4 linked regions of the Kluyveromyces lactis genome follow. The protein of the gene in region 3 purifies or fractionates together with the protein of the main gene of each other region. This does not show direct contact. Links are inferred from orthologs where the notes say so. Each region holds a gene or a part of one and is shown on either strand. Other genes may lie near its edges.

The links.
Region 1: the proteins of CDC48 (region 3) and DFM1 purify together in Saccharomyces cerevisiae (affinity purification with western blotting; 4 studies listed by BioGRID, with this or other methods). This does not show direct contact. The link is inferred for Kluyveromyces lactis from reciprocal best matches to the Saccharomyces cerevisiae genes CDC48 and DFM1.
Region 2: the proteins of CDC48 (region 3) and SIS1 purify together in Saccharomyces cerevisiae (affinity purification with mass spectrometry; 3 studies listed by BioGRID). This does not show direct contact. The link is inferred for Kluyveromyces lactis from reciprocal best matches to the Saccharomyces cerevisiae genes CDC48 and SIS1.
Region 4: the proteins of CDC48 (region 3) and FZO1 purify together in Saccharomyces cerevisiae (affinity purification with western blotting; 6 studies listed by BioGRID, with this or other methods). This does not show direct contact. The link is inferred for Kluyveromyces lactis from reciprocal best matches to the Saccharomyces cerevisiae genes CDC48 and FZO1.

Annotation. Positions count from the first base shown.
Region 1 is NC_006037.1:187,011-190,817, forward strand, and holds DFM1 (Dfm1p), read left to right. Parts: upstream 1-1,660; coding exon 1,661-2,509; downstream 2,510-3,807. Other genes in the region: ERD1 (Erd1p), read left to right, coding at 1-364; rRNA-processing protein RRP17, read right to left, coding at 411-1,142; carnitine O-acetyltransferase CAT2, read left to right, coding at 3,122-3,807. UniProt on the Saccharomyces cerevisiae protein: May be involved in the degradation process of some misfolded endoplasmic reticulum (ER) luminal proteins.
Region 2 is NC_006040.1:410,539-414,454, reverse strand, and holds SIS1 (type II HSP40 co-chaperone SIS1), read left to right. Parts: upstream 1-1,775; coding exon 1,776-2,840; downstream 2,841-3,916. Other genes in the region: TOR complex subunit LST8, read right to left, coding at 182-1,093; pseudouridine synthase CBF5, read right to left, coding at 3,726-3,916. UniProt on the Saccharomyces cerevisiae protein: Required for nuclear migration during mitosis. It is required for the normal initiation of translation. Might mediate the dissociation of a specific protein complex of the translation machinery. Essential for viability.
Region 3 is NC_006042.1:552,485-557,783, forward strand, and holds CDC48 (AAA family ATPase CDC48), read right to left. Parts: upstream 3,415-5,299; coding exon 922-3,414; downstream 1-921. Other genes in the region: cyclin PCL2, read left to right, coding at 1-507; HNT1 (adenosine 5'-monophosphoramidase), read right to left, coding at 4,056-4,450, 4,599-4,650. UniProt on the Saccharomyces cerevisiae protein: ATP-dependent chaperone which probably uses the energy provided by ATP hydrolysis to generate mechanical force to unfold substrate proteins, disassemble protein complexes, and disaggregate protein aggregates.
Region 4 is NC_006041.1:2,152,430-2,157,635, reverse strand, and holds FZO1 (mitofusin), read right to left. Parts: upstream 3,185-5,206; coding exon 707-3,184; downstream 1-706. Other genes in the region: EEB1 (medium-chain fatty acid ethyl ester synthase/esterase), read right to left, coding at 1-260; Sec63 complex subunit SEC62, read right to left, coding at 3,585-4,325; putative GTPase NOG1, read left to right, coding at 4,946-5,206. UniProt on the Saccharomyces cerevisiae protein: Essential transmembrane GTPase, which mediates mitochondrial fusion.

The sequences.
Region 1 (3,807 bases), on a different chromosome or scaffold from region 3:
GTTTTGGAATTCCGCGTATTCATTCTGGTGGGATGTGACCATGGATTGGAAACTAGAGCTGTTCGATTTTGTGAATGGGGACACTAGTGTCAATAACAATAATAGTAGTAACAAAGCGGACGGTCTTTTAAGAAGCATTTTGTTGTACCGGAAAAATGCGTGGTATTATAGCGCTATGGCGCTCGATTTTATTTTGAGATTCGTATGGTTCTGGGAGTATATCAGTGGGCACTCTGTATTTTATGGGGAATTAAACATCTTTTGGTTACAAATTTTAGAGATAATCAGAAGATGGATTTGGTTATTCTTTAAAGTCGAGGTAGAATACATTGCAACAACAGAGGGGGGGAAAATGGATGAATGAGATGTTTAGAAAGAGAGGAAGATAATAAATAAAAAAAAAAGGTTAATTACTTCCTACGTTTATTATTGTTGGCCTTTCTTTGATTTTGTCTTCTCTCGTTCTTGGTCAAGTATCTGAACTTCTTATTCTTTTTACTCTTATTACCAGATTTTTCTTCAACTCCCAAAAACTTTGCATATTTCTTCGCACGTTCGATGCTTTGATCTAAAATTTGTTCCGATTTCTCTAACTTCACATTATTTAATTCCGCAAGGTACTCAAAATTGTCATTGGGCTCTAAGGGTTCGATGTCTACCGTAGTATCATCTAAGTAAGTCTGTACATATTTCTTTAAGATCGGTTTCACACTAACAGAGTCAGAATCCTCTTCTTCTTCTTCAGTTGCATCTCCGTTATCATCGGAAAATCCCGTCCATTCTTCAGCCTCTTCATCGCTTCCCTGTTTCCCATTTTCGGCTTCTTCGTCGTCGTCCTCTACACCGACATAATCACCGACATCTTTCATCGCCTGTTTAAAATCTTCAAGCTGTTTCTCAAGAGCCTTTTTTTTATCTGCTCTGATCTTGGCCCTTTCCTCGAGCCTAGCTTTTCTCTCTTGCTCTTGGATGAACTCCTTGGCTTTCTTTTGTCTATCAAGCTTTCTCTTATGGAACCCAGTTAAGTATTCCAACCGTGAGTCCTTATCGAACTTTACCTCATCAGCACCGAATTTCTTAGCAGCTTTCTGCTTGTAAGATTTACCACCGGTAAGAATCTCACGATTACTCTTTGCCACCATTTTCACTCTATATCCACACTGCTACTCTGTATCTTCTGCAGAACTTGAACCGGTCTCAGCACCACCTCAGTAAGTGAAAAGCCTATCTGCTTTCTTCAGCTCATCGCATCAGCAAGTTTTTCCGTTTTAATGCTTTTTCCAAATATTGAAACTTCGAGATACAGAAAGAAATACATAGATAACTATAACATGATTGCATAAGGGCAATCTAGCCGTCCTGACCTAATTTATCTAGACCAATTCATATGCTCTGCCATGCACTAAGTAGAAAACAAATCTAGGCGTATACCTGTGTAGAGGATCATTACTTAACTATTCAATTTCTGTCATTCTGTGCTTTCCTATCTATGTCTTTCCCATAGCTTTAATTTTCGGGTTCTATGAAATTTCAGTTCCAAGTTGCAGTGAAAGAAAGATATTTATACTCACTATACAGATGCGCTGTCAAGATAGACACCGGAGGTACCATTCAGTAACATCAGTGGGATATACGATACGCGTGATTATTCATAGCAGCCATGACTATGCGTAACGAATTGATACAGTTTGTAGGACAAATTCCACCGGTGACCCGAGGAATATGTCTCTTAATGGTGTTAATATGTTTGATCCAACGCTTGAACGTATTACCGTACTATTTCAGCGATTTCAAATGGTCTTTACGTGGTGTATTGTTCAAGTTCCAAATCTGGAGGTTGTTCACTAGTTTCCTCATCTTACCAAACGATGCCATGAAAGCATGTTTCGACCTATACGCAGTATACTCGAAATCGTTACATCTCGAATTAGTGCACTTCAGCAACAAATCCATCGATTATTTGTTTTACATATGTTTCAACTTTGCATTGATCGTCGTGCTCGTAGAAGCATGCCAGATCTCATACCCAGTGTTCACTAACGCATTCATAGGAATGATCCTATATACGTGGACTCTGGACAACAGCAACGTGAAGGTAATGTTCTACGGATTATTCCCAATCTTGGGTAAATATCTATCGCTAGTGCATCTTTTCGTTTCGTTCTTATTTGATGACGGGACCGATGGTTACAGCAGGTTTTGCGTCACAATGGTCGGGTTTTGTGCTGGATACGTTTACTCCTGCCTAGACACATGGACTTACGGTCCCTTGTACGGTTATCTGATGGGGAAGGACCCAGCGTACGGATTCTCTGGAAGAGGTCATTTCAGATCACCAAGATGGTTCTCCTCGATCATTCTATGGATAGGACGTGTCCTATCCATCACCTCCAAACCCGTTTCGTCATCAAACAGGACAGACCCCGTGACCAGAAGAAGGTTGAGAACCCCGTTAAAGAAAAGCACTTTCGCTGGAACTGGAAATAGATTAGGGACCAAAATAGACTGATTAAGGTACTAATAATCCGACATACTGTTATCTATATTATCTACATCTCCCTTGTGTATATATCATTTGTGTTATTTTATTTACCCCAGGTTTAATGGAAATATGTCGACAATGGAAAATTGATTTTGTATGATGGTTCTGCCTAAAAGCCCGTTATGGCGAGAAAATAGTTGATGATCAAAAAGTGTTGGAGCAAACGAATGACCACAGGGACCAAGAGTGGAGGTGAAGCACGTCTTGGGTACAGGATTGCAGAGAGTTACTGGTACAGGTTCGTTGATGATCACTCGGTTCGGACGTATATAACGGAATGGGCTCTTGTGTAATGAATGATCAGCAATTCGGATTTCTCGAGTTTCAGCCTTTTATGAATAAAACCATGTACAAATGAGCTAGTATTATTTAGTATATATATAGCTGCATTTCAGAAGTTAAGGACACCTTTCGCTTTTAATAGGTTTGTTCCGAAAATGGTTTCCTTGCCGGTTTAAACAACCAAAATCATCCTCAAGAAAGCGGAACACGATATAGAATAAAAGGTTTCAATTGTTGTGATATTTATTTTATTTATTAGTTAAATACCCGTTGTGAATACCAACACCAACAGTGACGATGAGAAGTATGGCATTTAGAAGCAGTGCTGGTATTAGTATGGGGATGAGACGCATGGGTCAAGGTAACAAGAAAAGTTCTATATTGAGACAGATGTCTGGTAAGATGCAGTATTCGGGGTATCAGAAGTTCCCTTTTGAGACCGGGACTAACGATGAGTATATTGCAGAAAGACCTAATTCGTATTATCAGGAGAAGAGACCTGGGTTCAAAGGAGCCACTTACTCAAAACAACAGGATATGCCATCCTTACCGATTCCGGAGTTGAAATCGACTTTGGACAAATATTTGAAGTCTATTAAACCGTTTTGTCAGACGGATGCTGAATATGAGAAACAGATCCAGTTATGTTACTCATTTCTTTCAGACCAAGGCCCTGCTTTGCAGGAGCGGTTGTTGAGTTATTCTCAGGAGCGGAGAAACTGGATGCAAGAACTATGGGATAGTCAGATTTATCTTGGCGATAGGTCACCTGTGGTTCCTTTTGTGTCATATTTTTATGGTCATAAGCCTTTACCAACTAGTCACCGTGCCATCGATGGCGACATGCTTGTTAAGGCCACGGCGATTATTTCTAGTGTGGTGAAGTTCGTGGAATCCTTGAAAGATGAAGCCTTGCCAGCAGAAGTGGTGAAGGGCAAACCTTTCTGTATGAACGGATTCCAATATATGTTCAATAATTCAAG
Region 2 (3,916 bases), on a different chromosome or scaffold from region 3:
TCTGATCCTGGCGAAACTTTCCAGTATCATCGCAGGTCATCTTTATATATATCTAAGTGTTGAAAGTAAATAAGAGTTTTGATATCCATAGTTTTGATCTTTTTATTAAATTACTACATCAACGAAACCACAATAAAATGCTATGTCGCATATCCCTTCTTTAGAGATATTGATTAAAGTTTCATACATCGTTAAGAGCAACACAAACAGCACCTTTGTGATGTCCTCCATACTGCCTTACAATTTCACTTGTGGAAAGGTCCCATAATCTTACATAATGATCAGAGCATGCTGTGACTAGGTATGCACTGTCTGCTGAAAACGCACAATCCCACACCCATCTCTGATGACCATCTAAAGTGGTTTCAAGTTCAAAATTATCCTCTATATTCCATACTCTAGCTGTATGGTCTGCTGAACATGTTGCTAAATGTTTTACATCCGCCGATAGTAGGACCCTGGTAATATATTTAGTATGCGATTTGAATTTAGTTACGGGCTCCAAAGTGGAAGCATCCGTGTGATGAGGCATCTTCCATACATAACAGTTCCCTTTGTTATTTCCTGCAACAAGCATCGATCCGTCGCTTGCAACGGACAACGACTGTAATGGCGTGTTATCTTCTGGTGTCAGCTGGTTTGTGCACTGGTTTTCACCAAGATCCCAAATCCTGATATTCCCATCCTGATCGCAGGAAATCAATTCCCCTTGGTTCGGATGTATCGCTACTTCATTGACAGGTGCATTATGCTTGTAATTCCTTTGCACAGATGGGGACCGTACATCCCAAACCTTAATAGTCCCATCTTCACTAGACGATACCATCCATCGATTTTCCTGTTGAAATGCAATCGACGTTACGTTCCCTTTATGGCCTTCGAAAGAGGACACCGGATTTGGATTATTCGACCGTATATCATAAAGACGGACGTGTAAATGACCAGCAGCAGCCAAATATTTCTTATCGGACGTAATCTCTAATCGATTCACTTGGGAATCTGCATGTTGAATGGTTCGTGAACAGACTCCAGTCAAAGCTTCCCAGAACCTAATTGTGTGGTCGTATCCAGCACTCGCTAGAATAACAGACATGGCAATATTGAAGTTAGTCTGACCGTACACAATAAGAAACCTCTACCTTGTTCACAGGGGAGAAAAAGCCTTGAAAACTCCTCAGATTCCTTAAGACTTTCTTTCATCTAGTATATTGCATATTCTTTATCACATTAAACCATAATTTGTCAATATTCATGATTGAGATATAAACAACAGCAATTGAAACAAAAGTGGAGGCATAGAGATAGCCACAAGATTGTGTAGTGGCTAATGTCATTGAATGACACCTGATTTGCGGCTTTGTGATGACAGATTTGTATTGGTGGGAAACTTCTATATCACGTGATTGTCACATGAATCTCGCGTGCTTAAAGCATTCATGTTTTTTTACTTCTAGAAGGTTCCAGGGTATACTCTGAAAGAACATGATCGGTTGCAACAGAACTGAACCTGAATATATAGGAATGAAATGTTATATAAAGGTTTTCAAAGAACAGGATGTTTTTCGTTCAAAGATTATTGGTCGTTGGTATTCGATCGACATGTTTAGAGAAGAGTTTTATTGCATCTTTTGTCCCATTGGTATCTCGAAACAGTGTAAACATTAACTGATTCTTTTAGTTTACTCTAATTCTTCTAGTTTAGATAGAGCTAATTTGAACTATCATTCGACATATATACAAAAGGACAATTACCAAATTTGAAACGTCGTAGGAGTATGGTTAAGGACACTAAATTATATGATTTGCTAGGAATTTCGCCTAGTGCAGGTGAAGCCGAGATTAAAAAAGGGTACAGAAAGGCTGCCTTGAAGTATCATCCAGATAAGCCTACAGGTGACACTGAGAAGTTTAAAGAAATCTCTGAGGCTTTTGAGATTCTTTCAGATGCTCAGAAGAGGGAAGTTTACGATACTTATGGTCTAGAGGCTGCTCGTGGTAATGCTCCTCAATTTGGAGGAGCGGGAGGGCCTGGTGGGCCTGGTGGGCCTGGAGGATTTTCTTCTGGTGGGTTTGCCGGGGGACATGCGTTCTCACAAGATGACGCTTTCAACATCTTTTCACAGTTCTTTGGTGGAGGAGGTGCTGCCGGAGGTGCTTCTCCATTTGGATTCTCTGCTAGCGGCGGGTCTGGTGATGATTTCGGGTTTGGAGGCAGTAGTTTCCATTCCTCTTCGGGCGGCATGCCAGGCGGTATGCCAGGTGGAATGCCAGGTGGAATGCCAGGTGGATTCAGTAGACAACAGGCTAGACCTGAAGAAGAAGTTGTTCAGGTCAATCTACCTGTGTCCTTAGAAGATTTATTCAGCGGTAAGAAGAAATCATTCAAGATCACAAGAAAAGGCGCCGGTGGTGTGTCCGAAAAGAACCAAATTGACATCCAATTGAAACCAGGTTGGAAAGCAGGTACCAAGATTACTTTCAAAGGTGAAGGTGACTATAATCCAAGAACTGGTGGTAGACAAACATTACAATTCGTTCTACAGGAAAAACCACACGAATTTTTCACCAGACAAGACAATGATTTGATTTACACTTTACCACTTTCTTTCAAAGAATCTCTTCTAGGTTTCTCCAAGCAAGTACAAACCATCGACGGTAAAACAATTCCAATCACAAGAACGCAGCCAATTCAACCTACTCAAACCTCAACATATCCCGGACAAGGTATGACACTGTCAAAGAATCCTTCCCAAAGAGGTGATTTGATTATTAAGTTCAAGATCGATTATCCAACCTCTTTAACACCTCAACAAAGACAAGCCATTATGGATAACTTCTGAATGAAAGATGAAGAATGTCTTTATAACGAAAATAAATCATAAAAGTATGACATGACGATTGCAAATTTAGACTTCTGACGGTGATCATGTTTACAATTCAACGTCTGCCAGAAATATTATCTTCCCACCATTATGGTTCTATGTCATATGTTTTCATTTCTTTAAATGTTTACTCCCATTAATTATTTCCAATTCAAATGTTCCATTCACATTCACTTCAGCAGAAGCAATCTTATCGTATGGCTACATTGTCTGTCGATTAATGCGTTAACTTTCTGACCACACTGTACACTATTTTCAAAAAAATATCCTTCGGTAAATGAAGCACGCAACATAAGTTGAGGACGCAATATAATATGCGAGAGAATACAAGGAGAATTATTCAATGATTGTTAATACTGGTAAAGTAAGAAACGGGACGTTTCATTGTGACACCTCGACTTCTGTTCACAATGTAACCATTTGCATAGATTTTAACCTTCATTTACCTTTTTATTGAGCAAATGACATCATGCAAATAAAAGACATACCAATCTGCAAGTTTCCCGACTTCTATTTGGTTCCGAACAATTGATGTCTGCCAAAAAAAAAAAAACTCCAAGTATTATTATCAAATCTTCTATCTACCTCATACATTTACCATTACTTTTTGCCATTACTTCAATTGAAGACGTAATGGTGTCTTCACACGCGCATAAATAATTTACAAATTTATATATACGAATACAATGATATACAACATCGACACAGGGTACAAAAAACAGTCGTGACGAAATACGTTTTTCAATGATTAAAAATATTCTACAGTGTACATAACCTAAATGATAAACTCTATGCAGTTTTGAAATTTCGATCGATGATATGAAGGACTTAGATTGTAGTCGTTTATTTCTTTGACTTCTTCTTCTTCTTCTCGGAAGACTCATCATCGTCAGCCTTTCTCTTCTTCTCCTTCTTCTCCTTCTTTTCCTTTTTCTCCTTCTTGTCCTTCTTCTCCTTCTTTTCCTTCTTGTCCTTCTTTTCTTCTGGTGTCTTTGATTCTTCCTTTGATTCTTCCTTCTGTTCGACTTCCTTCT
Region 3 (5,299 bases):
TTTAGTATGCAGGAATTGGTACAGGCACTTTCTCATTTCTTAGTACCGATCCAATACCAGTTGAGTACCAAGAAATCGATACAGAACCAAGGTGCCAACAAAAATTGTTCACATCTGTTATTCAACGCACCAGTGAGTGGGCAAACAAAAAATTTCCTCAATACAGAAGCGCATTCAAGGTCGTCATCTCACATGTCGATCCCCTCTTTGTCTTCATCGAACACATTGTCTACAATAGACTCGATGGCTTCTTCGTCATCGTCACTAGCATATTCATCATCTTCTGGCTCGTCCTCATCTTCTGGTTCGTCTTTATCCCAAAGCAAACTGAAAGTTATCAGTGAGGAGCCATCCGCAAAGGTCACACCAAGGAAGAAATTTGGTCTAACGAAGCCTATTATGTTGAATTCTAAGTCTTGTACGGACTTTAAAGCATTGCCTGCACATGCAGTCACAAACACAAATAATATATCTTCAAAGTCAGGCTGGGCTTCGATATTCCATTAACGGACGGATTGCCAACACATTGAAGCACGTAGGTGACTATTTGGTATTTGCATTTCTTTCTCTCAACTTTCTATTTCATTCAAACGTACATACTCTCGCACATATATGTATTCATTAATATAATTTGGTTTTACTTCGGAGACCCTGTATTGCTTTGCCTGGCGAAAATATACCATTGCACTACTAGGTCGAATTAAAGATGAATTCAAGACCCAAAATTGGAAGGGATAGCTAAGACTGATGAATCTTTTAACCATATTAAAACCAGTTATCTCAAATATCCTGTTACACGTGATTAATAGATAATATTTAATCTCTACGTAAATTTAGCAACAAGTATTCCTCTGTATTGTAATTTATTACATTTCATTTTGCATCGAAAAAGACCTGTTATGTTTTGTGAAGGTTATGTATCTAACTGTACAAATCATCGTCATCTTCACCAGCGGCATCTCCGAAAGCTGCACCAGAACCCTCAGCACCAGCTTGAGTTGCGGCAGCACCTGAATCATCACCAAACGAGAAGTTGCCGAATTGTCCTCTGGATGCCTTCATCTGTTGAGCATAAGCTTCGTAACGACGAAGCTCAGTATCTGTAACAGAACGCTTGGCTGTTTTCATAGCTTCAGTGAAGTGTTCTTTGGTAATGAATGGAACTGGATCCTCTTGTTGAACGTCTGACATTTCAACGTCTTCTTCTGTCTTGACCTTCTCGGTTTCTTCTGCACCTTCTTCTTTCTTGACAACTTCTGCACGTTTTTGTGCCTCGATGGAATCTTTAATGGCAAACTTCGCAGCTCTCTGTACGATATATAATAAATCTGCACCAGAGAATCCCTGTGTAGCTTGAGCGATGGTCTTTAGATCTAGTCCTGGTTCTAATGGTGTATTTCTTAATTGGGCTGATAGAATAGATAATCTTCCTGTTTCGTCTGGTAATGGAACGTAGATCAATTGATCCAATCTACCAGGTCTTAAAATAGCTGGATCGATTTGATCTGGTCTGTTAGTGGCACCAATAACGAAAACGTTCTTCTTGGCGTTCATACCATCCATTTCGGTCAATAATTGGTTAACCACTCTGTCAGATGCACCACCTGCATCACCTAAAGAACCACCACGAGCCTTAGCAATGGAGTCCAATTCATCTAAGAAAACGACAGTTGGGGCTGCAGCTCTGGCTTTGTCGAAAATATCACGGATATTGGATTCGGACTCACCGTACCACATACTTAATAACTCAGGACCCTTGACCGAAATGAAATTAGCAGACACTTCGGTGGCGACAGCCTTAGCTAACAAAGTCTTACCAGTACCAGGAGGACCGTAGAACAACACACCCTTCGATGGTGACAAACCAAACTTGGTGTATTGATCTGGATGCAAGACTGGATATTCGACGGTTTCCTTCAATTCATCCTTAATTTCATCCAAGCCACCGATATCATCCCATGTGACATTAACAGATTCTACAACGGTTTCACGCAATGCGGATGGGTTGGAGTTACCCAATGCAAATCTGAAGTTGTCCATAGTAACTCCTAATGAGTCCAACACTTCGGCGTCAATTTCGTCTTCATCTAAGTCAATTAGGTCCATCTTTTCACGAATTTGTTGCATAGCAGCTTCAGAACATAGGGAGGCAATATCAGCACCAACATAACCATGGGTTTCAGCGGCCAACTTTTCTAAGTCGACGTCGTCAGCCAACTTCATATTTTTAGTGTGAATACGTAAGACTTCCAATCTACCAGTAACGTCAGGAACACCAATATCGACTTCTCTATCAAATCTACCGAATCTTCTCAAAGCAGGATCGATAGAATTGGGTCTATTGGTGGCTGCAATGACAACGATGTTGGATCTAGCCTTCATACCATCCATTAGAGTCAATAATTGAGAAACGACTCTTCTTTCCACTTCACCGTTAGTCTTGTCACGCTTTGGTGCAATAGAATCAATTTCATCGATAAAAATAATGGCCGGAGCATTCTTTTCTGCTTCTTCGAAAGCCTTTCTCAAGTTGGATTCAGATTCACCAGCCATCTTGGACATGACTTCTGGACCATTGATTAAGAAGAAAAATGCACCTGTCTCGTTAGCCACAGCTCTGGCCATTAGAGTTTTACCGGTACCTGGAGGACCGTACATCAAAATACCCTTCGGAGGTTTGATACCAATGGCCTTAAATAGTTGTGGGTGTCTCAATGGCAATTCGACCAATTCTCTAATTTGAGCCATTTGCTTACGACAACCACCAATATCATCATAACCGACTTCATTGATGTTATTTTCTTCATCTTCTCTGTTAATTGGCTCACCTTCACTATGAATGACAGTATCTTGGGCAACAACACCGTACTCTTCAGGCTCAACGTCTACGACCTTGAACTCTACTTGTCTCATACCACCTCTAACGATAAAGTGGTCACCTTTTCTAACCGGTCTATAAGCTTCGACAAAGTATGGCTTCAAGTACACATCAAATAGATTACCAGTCAACCCCTCGATGGTGTCAGCGATTGGCAACACTGAGATTCTGGAAGCATACTTGATATCGGTACATGGATGGATAGTGACCAAATCACCGAGTCTTATTCTCAAGTTGTTACGAATAACACGGTTTACTCTACAGACACCATCTTCCAGTTCGTCATCAATCATAACAATCAAAACGGTGTCCTTTCTCTTCTTACCCTTGACTAAAACGGTGTCACCACGGAACAATTGTAAAAGATCCATAGTGTTAGAATTGATAGCAATGATAGAATTGTCATCGTTAACTGCATCATCGACCAGTAACATGTTTTGCTTCTTCTTTCTTCTCAAGATGGCAGTGGCGGTAGCATCATCTGCGTCAGCTGCAGTGCCAGAACTATCTAACAATTTCTTATGTTCTTCTGGCATGTTCTCTTAATAACTGAGGTGAAAAGTTGTTTTAAAGATACTGTAATTCCTTCTGGTAGGATCCACGATGTAATTAAGCTCTTGGTAAACAGGATATGCAGGTTTCTTGATTAACTTCTGAAATTGGACCTTATTTCTTCTTATTTCAACCAAAAGACGGAAGATAAAACAAAAATTAAATAACTTGATCTAACCCCTAATCTGGTGATTCAATGATTCAATTAAAGGAGACAATTATTGTAAATCCCTGGTGAGTGCTTTATTTAATCTAGCGTTCACTTACTGGTGTTAATCCTGAAAATAACCTTCAAGGATCACCGAAAATAGTGTGCAATACTTATATATAATAAATCGCTTCCCTCTTTATAATCTAGAGATTTCAGAATTTGCCACCGGATATGTGAAATTTCGGCCGGGTAACAATATTTTTTCATCTCCTCTCTAAGAAGATCCCTCCCACAATGCGAATGAGCTATTGGATTCCTTATGTGAATGGTAAGTAGAAATTGGTACAGTAGGAAATATGTAGTTATAATATATATGAGACGATCTCAATGATCATCTTCGTTAGCTTCGTCAGCTTCGTCAGCTTCGTCATCTTCGTCATATCTTGGTCTCTTTCATTGCGAAAAAGATCGCGCTTAGGTTTCTAGTTTGGCAAGCAACTTTTTATGCATTTCACTCAGCTTAGCAAAATCAGTTTCCTGTGCAGGCCAACCTACGATTAATCCAGCATCCTTTGTTTTCTTTGGGATCAAATGGAAATGCACGTGATCTACTTCTTGATGGGCTATTCTACCGTTGTTTTGAAGGACATTGTACCCTGGACCATCAGGACCATCTTGGTCGAAGCCAATGGCTTTCACTAACTTCTTAGTAACTGGCAACAGGTCAGCTAAGTATTCATCTGGGATGTTGTGCAATTTCCCACCGTGGTGCTTTGGAATGATAAGAATGTGGTTCTCTTCAGTTGGTTGGATGTCAAGGAACGAGTAAGAATACTGAGTTTCAACCAATTTGAAAGAAGGGATTTCACCTGAAAGTACACCAGTAGTGGAATCTGTTAGTATTATAGTTCATAAGATCAAAGAGCTAGTCTAAGCCACTTGGGTGGTTGCGAGCATGCAAAAACCAAGGGGAGAAACAGATATTTGTTCTCACCTAACAATTTGAGGTTTACATACCTTTGATAATCTTGCAGAAAATACAAGCAGCGTCGTGGGCAACAGCACTCATTGGTATCGGCTTATTAAACGTTTGAATTCACACGTATCGGTACTTATTGCAATATTTCTTTCGACTGCGAAAATGTTGGAGAATCTGCAACTAATTGGAGTTCAGTCTTTTTTCATCATTATACATTTGTGTATTGGCCCTTATATATATGTTCTTATGATATAAAAAAAAACCAAGTTCTAGAAAACTAGAATAGTTGGTGACACGACATGAGAATCATGATTCGGAGTGGTTCTCGTACTAATGTAGGGCACGACATTCCAACTAATGATTGTTTCTGGTTTAATGGTAGACAATACTAGAACCTATCTTTAGGGTATCTGCCTTAATTCTTTTCTAGATTTGCTGTATATTTGTTAATTATTCTTGTCCAATTTATTATAATTGTTCCAGAGGTGCCCTTTCAAAGTGGAAATGTTGTAATTCCTTTACAAAAGTTATATATAGGGATTGTGTTGGGAGCCGTTACTATTGAACGAATGAAACCTGAGATTATAAAGCGCTACCAGAGCTCAGCTTAAAACACAAAGCTTTCTGACATAATCGCTTCGATGACGGGCATACTGACGGAATAAGAACCACGTGATATTAATTGTTTCACAGATATGCTCGAATGAAAAAAAAAAAAAAAAGAGAAAAGCAGAGTCAT
Region 4 (5,206 bases), on a different chromosome or scaffold from region 3:
CTACCGTAAAATACATTGAATTTCTTGCTGAAATCACCACCTGCCAAATACATGGTTTGTAAAATACCAGTAAAGATTAGTGGACTTAATTGAAATTTGCTGCCATCGCTCAATCCAGTAACCTCTTCGGAGATTAATTCATGCAATTGAGCCTCGGATCCATCTTTCTTTTGCAACTTGATTGTTCCTTTTTCACCGATATGTTGAGTTACAGTACCATTGTAACCCCAGTGCAGTGGGTTGAATAATAAGTTCACCATTATTGTCAACGTTTATTAGATAAGAGACAACGTCGTTGTGTCAGTACACAAATAGGGTAGACGAAAAATATTACCAAAGTATATAACCAATTTTATGAAGATAAATAAAATAAGTCAGAATATCTGTGGCTCGTTCCTTGATTCTGTTTCCATCTTTATATATTTCGCATTTGAAATGGGTTCTGGTGATGCTACAGGTGTTTGATTTTCGGACCGTAAAAATATCAGCCGAAGGATCCGGAGGTTATGAACGAAGGGTCTCGCATGAGCCATGGAGGGGAAAGGGGACCGAAAGTAAGGTTGTAAATATGTTTAGTTGGTTCGGATCCGCAGCAGTAATGAAATATTTACATGAAAAACTATCATATGGGAATAATTATATATGGTTTCAGATAGAAGAATGATTCTGTTCTTTAGGGTCCTGTAATGCCCATAGATCCATTTAATCAATCTACTTCCAAATTGATCGATTCCACAGTACCTCTCTGTTTCTGTGACTTGGATAATAACGCCTGGAAAAATTCAATACTCATTGCGTTATCCCTTACTTTGCATTCTACTTCTTTCTTTTGGGAAGTCTTTTTATCAACAATTAACTCACACGCTTTTACCACTTCTCTGGTTGGGTATTTGAACACCTGTGATACTTCTTTCGAGATACGGTCAGCGTTATTATGCGCATAATCGATTTCTTGTAATCGTAGCTTATATTTCAAGGATAACTTCATCGGTAGCGCTCTTGGTAAGTCGTGAATTAAATAGGCTATTCCTAAGACTCCCCCTAGCAGTATCAACGATCCAGACAATTTTTTCAAGGATTCTAAAGAGAAAAACCTTGAGCCATGAAGCACGATATTTGTTATCATTTTAGAACCCCCAAAGGAATAGACCAGTAATGTTGGGATCTTTGAAGTAAAGATTAACGATGGGTTGGTCCAATACTGTGAAACAGAATATGATGTTAATGCAAGGGATTGCGACCATGAGCTTTTGGTAGTCAAAGTATTCTCTTCGTTAGTAATTTTCGGTGTTGGTTTAACGAGACCCCAGGATAGGTAAGAGATAAATCCTTCAACAGATGGATCCAAAAAGTTATGCAATTCTAATGGAATATTCAATTTTTTGCTTAAATTATGCTTTTTCTTGGTGAACATCAAACCACTCTTGAAAACCTTGCCCGCCATAAATTCATCACCTAGTTGTTCCTTCGCTAATGCGTTTATTTGAGAAACTGATTGTTCTGCGCTGTTCTTAGCATATGCTTCACTGACTTGTACGCTGGCTAAAATTTGGTCCACGATGAAAGTTCTAACTCGTTGAACATAGTCATAAATGCCAGAAAGACCAGAATATGGAGGGAATTCAGCAGGCTTTAGTATTAACGCTTTGTTAATTTGCATTTTTGTGTATCCATATACTTCCTTTGTGGTAAATTCGCAAATTTTATCAATTGATTCGATAAGCTCAGAACAGCGATTGGTAACATCGTGGAGTTCCGGTTGCAAATCAATTAGAAGGGCATTCAAATGATAGTCTTCCTCTTTATATTTTTCAAGATTACATTGTGATATCCTTTCAAGATCCTTCAATAGCTTTATTAGATAAGTTTTTGCTGGTAAAAGTTTCGAGAGTGATCTTTTCTTGAAGACGAAATTACGCAAATTGTCCTCTAATTTATCGAAATCAGGATCTTCTTTTGGAGGGTTTGGCATGTCTCCATTTGGGTCATCTCCTCCATCAGGGCGATTTTCGCCTTCATGGGGTATTTTACCATGACTGGTAACAAAGTGTACAAATTCACTATTCTGCTTATAAGTTTCTGGAGAAATTTCCTTGATCTGATCTAGAATCAGCTTCTTGCATCTGTCTTTGTCCTTGATATGATCAAACTTGTTGATCACGAAGAACATTAATTTCTTCTCCCTTGAAGCCATAGTAATGAATTCTCTAGCAGATAATGTTAATTGATTTTCGGCATTGACGACAAATACTACAAGATCAATCTCTTCTTGCCTAGACATCACTTCAGTTGTTTTCACTGAATCCATATTAAGCCCAGGAGAGTCAATAAGAGATATATCTGCAGTTCCGTTTCTCAACAAACTAGAGTCAACCGGCCTTTTATCATCTTTAATATATATCTTCAACAAGATATAGTGATCATTATCATAAACCAATTGATCTAGCTTATCGAGAGTATAATCTTCATAAGTCGATCTGTCTCTCATGTCGTATAATACGGATGCATCCTTAACGTTAGTTGCCACGGTCTTGGGAATGGCATGGACTCTTTCCATATTTCCGTTCTCTCTCGCTTCTAAAATTTCACAGAATACATTGGTACAAGGCAATTGATCCTCAGGCAAAACCTTCTTTCTCAAAAATGCGTTACATAACGTAGATTTTCCTGAGTTCAAATCGCCTGTTATGAAAACTTTTGAAGAAGTATCCTGTACACGAGTTTGTAAATTAATCAAATGGTCAATCGCAGATAACGCTTGTGTTTTGAATAACTGCGCCAAAGCACTCTTATCAAGTTGCATATTCTCCCTACCATCTAGTTTGACTTTAAGTTCCAATACGTCCAAAGATTCAGAATGCTCTGGAATATAGATGGCTCTTTGATTATTTTCAGTGATCAAATCGTTGATCAAAGGCCTGACCACGGTAATGGAATCGAGAAGACTGTTTCTGTTGAGAGAGTATGATTGTTGTGTCAAATGAGAATAAAACATATGATCTCTCGACCTATCACGACGATGAGAAGAATGCCTTTGTAGAAGGTTACTCATTTGAACATCTGTTAAAGTTGTACTTGACTCCAACTGATGTGATGAAATTTCAAACGGGGCATCGTTGCTCAACTCATCTTCATATTTAGAGCTTCTTCTATTAGAATTCTGCGATATTTCCTTCTGTGACATGTTGCAGAAGTTTGTAATATTGTGGTGCGGCCGTTCGCTCAGTTATAATACCTATACTAGGATTGGAAGCGAGTGGTATCCTGTTGGCATTATTTTTCTAACTGTTTGCAACTTCTGCTTTCATTACTGTTTTCATTACTGTTGCTGCGTTTTTCATTTTCTTACTTGACCTTAAATCAATTCATGCAAAATAAAACTTTAAAAGAAGGTGATTTCTAGTGTCAGAAACCAAAGATGTCACTACTGATATTAGTATGAGTACATATATCTATATTTATATATGTTTGTATGTTTATATGTGATATTAGTATGTGATTCTCACCGAAAGAATGAACATACACCTTCTGTGATAGTTAAATTGCTAATGTACAGTCTGGGATGGAAGTCCGTTACATTGAAGTTATTTTTGCTTCTTTGCAACTGATCTATGCTTTCTCTTTTCTTTCTTCAGGAAGCTATAGCATTCCTTTTCACCAAATCCATATAGCGGTTTGAAACTTTCTATAACACCGCAATCTTCGAACAAGTTTGGGAAGAGCCAGAACCCACCCTTCTCGCTAACTGCAGCTAATGACAACAAGTAAACTATCAATCTCACAATTGCAATACCAAAGAATACACCGATAAGTGCCAATGCTGCAATGGATAAGTAGTAAGTACCACGTTTCATATATGGAGGCCATAATGGGTAACACACGAATGCTAGCACACCGACTATGATACCGATCACAGTCAAGTAATCATAAATTGATTTTGGATTATAAGACCAGACGTAATATTCATCTGGTTGTAGAGTCGCTTTATTCGATAATAATAAGTTTGGATATGATTTGTTTGGCTTTAGACCATGTTCTTTACATTCTGCAGAATGTAATTTAACCGCTGGTACGACAAATTGGGCCTTGATTAAGGAAACAAAAATGTTACGAGCATCTTCATCGCTTGTCACAGCGGGGTACAATTCGGGTTGTTTTTTGGACTTTGCCTTATATTTATCACTTTTCAAAGCTCTAACAAATCTTTTATAACGGAAGAAGTCAACTAAACGCGATTGGAACAATCCTTGTCTTTGCTTCAAGTCGCTATGAGTCCTGAGTAGATTGGCAATGGCTATCGTAGATTGTGGGCTTGGTTCCGACATAGTAACGAAACAAATCTATATTTGAAGAGAAAAATTCAAAAAAAAAAGGCGGATAAGGCAATTCTACCGGAAATTAGGCAATTATCAGGTAGTGATTAGAAAGTTATAATGAATCTAGAGATTGGACTCAAGCTGTATTCTTTCAGATCAAAATCTCATTGATATTTCTGTATATATTGAAAGTTGAAACGTAAACCGTAAATAAAATGTTCACATACATTTTAACAGTAAAATATATTGTTACCCCGACAGTCTCAAAAGAAAGTGCTTTAGTCACGTGACATAACCAATGTGTATGCCTTTAACGGTCAATTCTGAGATCCATACGAAAAAGAAATCCTGAAAGCACAATTTTTTTTTTCTTTTCAAAGGTTTGCAGTAGTGGGAAAATTTTCCAAACGGCAAGCTCATCTCATCTCATCTCATCTCATTGTGCATTCGAAGTGATAGACAGAGCTTGATTATCAGTGTGACATCCGTTTGACAGGTAGTTTGAATAGATTGGAAGTTTGTTCAAACAACTAAGCATAGCTTAACTGCATTATTGCTAGTTTAATTGTTTTTTGTTGTCCCCGTGTGTGCGTGTATCCCAAAGTTTACGTCAAATCAATTAAGCAACAATGCAATTATCCTGGAAAGATATTCCGACCGTGGCTCCTGCCAATGACTTGTTGGACATTGTGTTGAACAGAACTCAAAGAAAGACACCTACTGTTATTAGACCAGGTTTCAATATCACTCGTATCAGAGCGTTTTACATGAGAAAGGTGAAGTTCACCGGTGAAGGGTTCGTGGAAAAATTTGATGATATTTTGAAAGGTTTCCCTAATATTAACGACGTGCATCCTTTCCATAGGGATTTGATGGATACTTTGTATGAA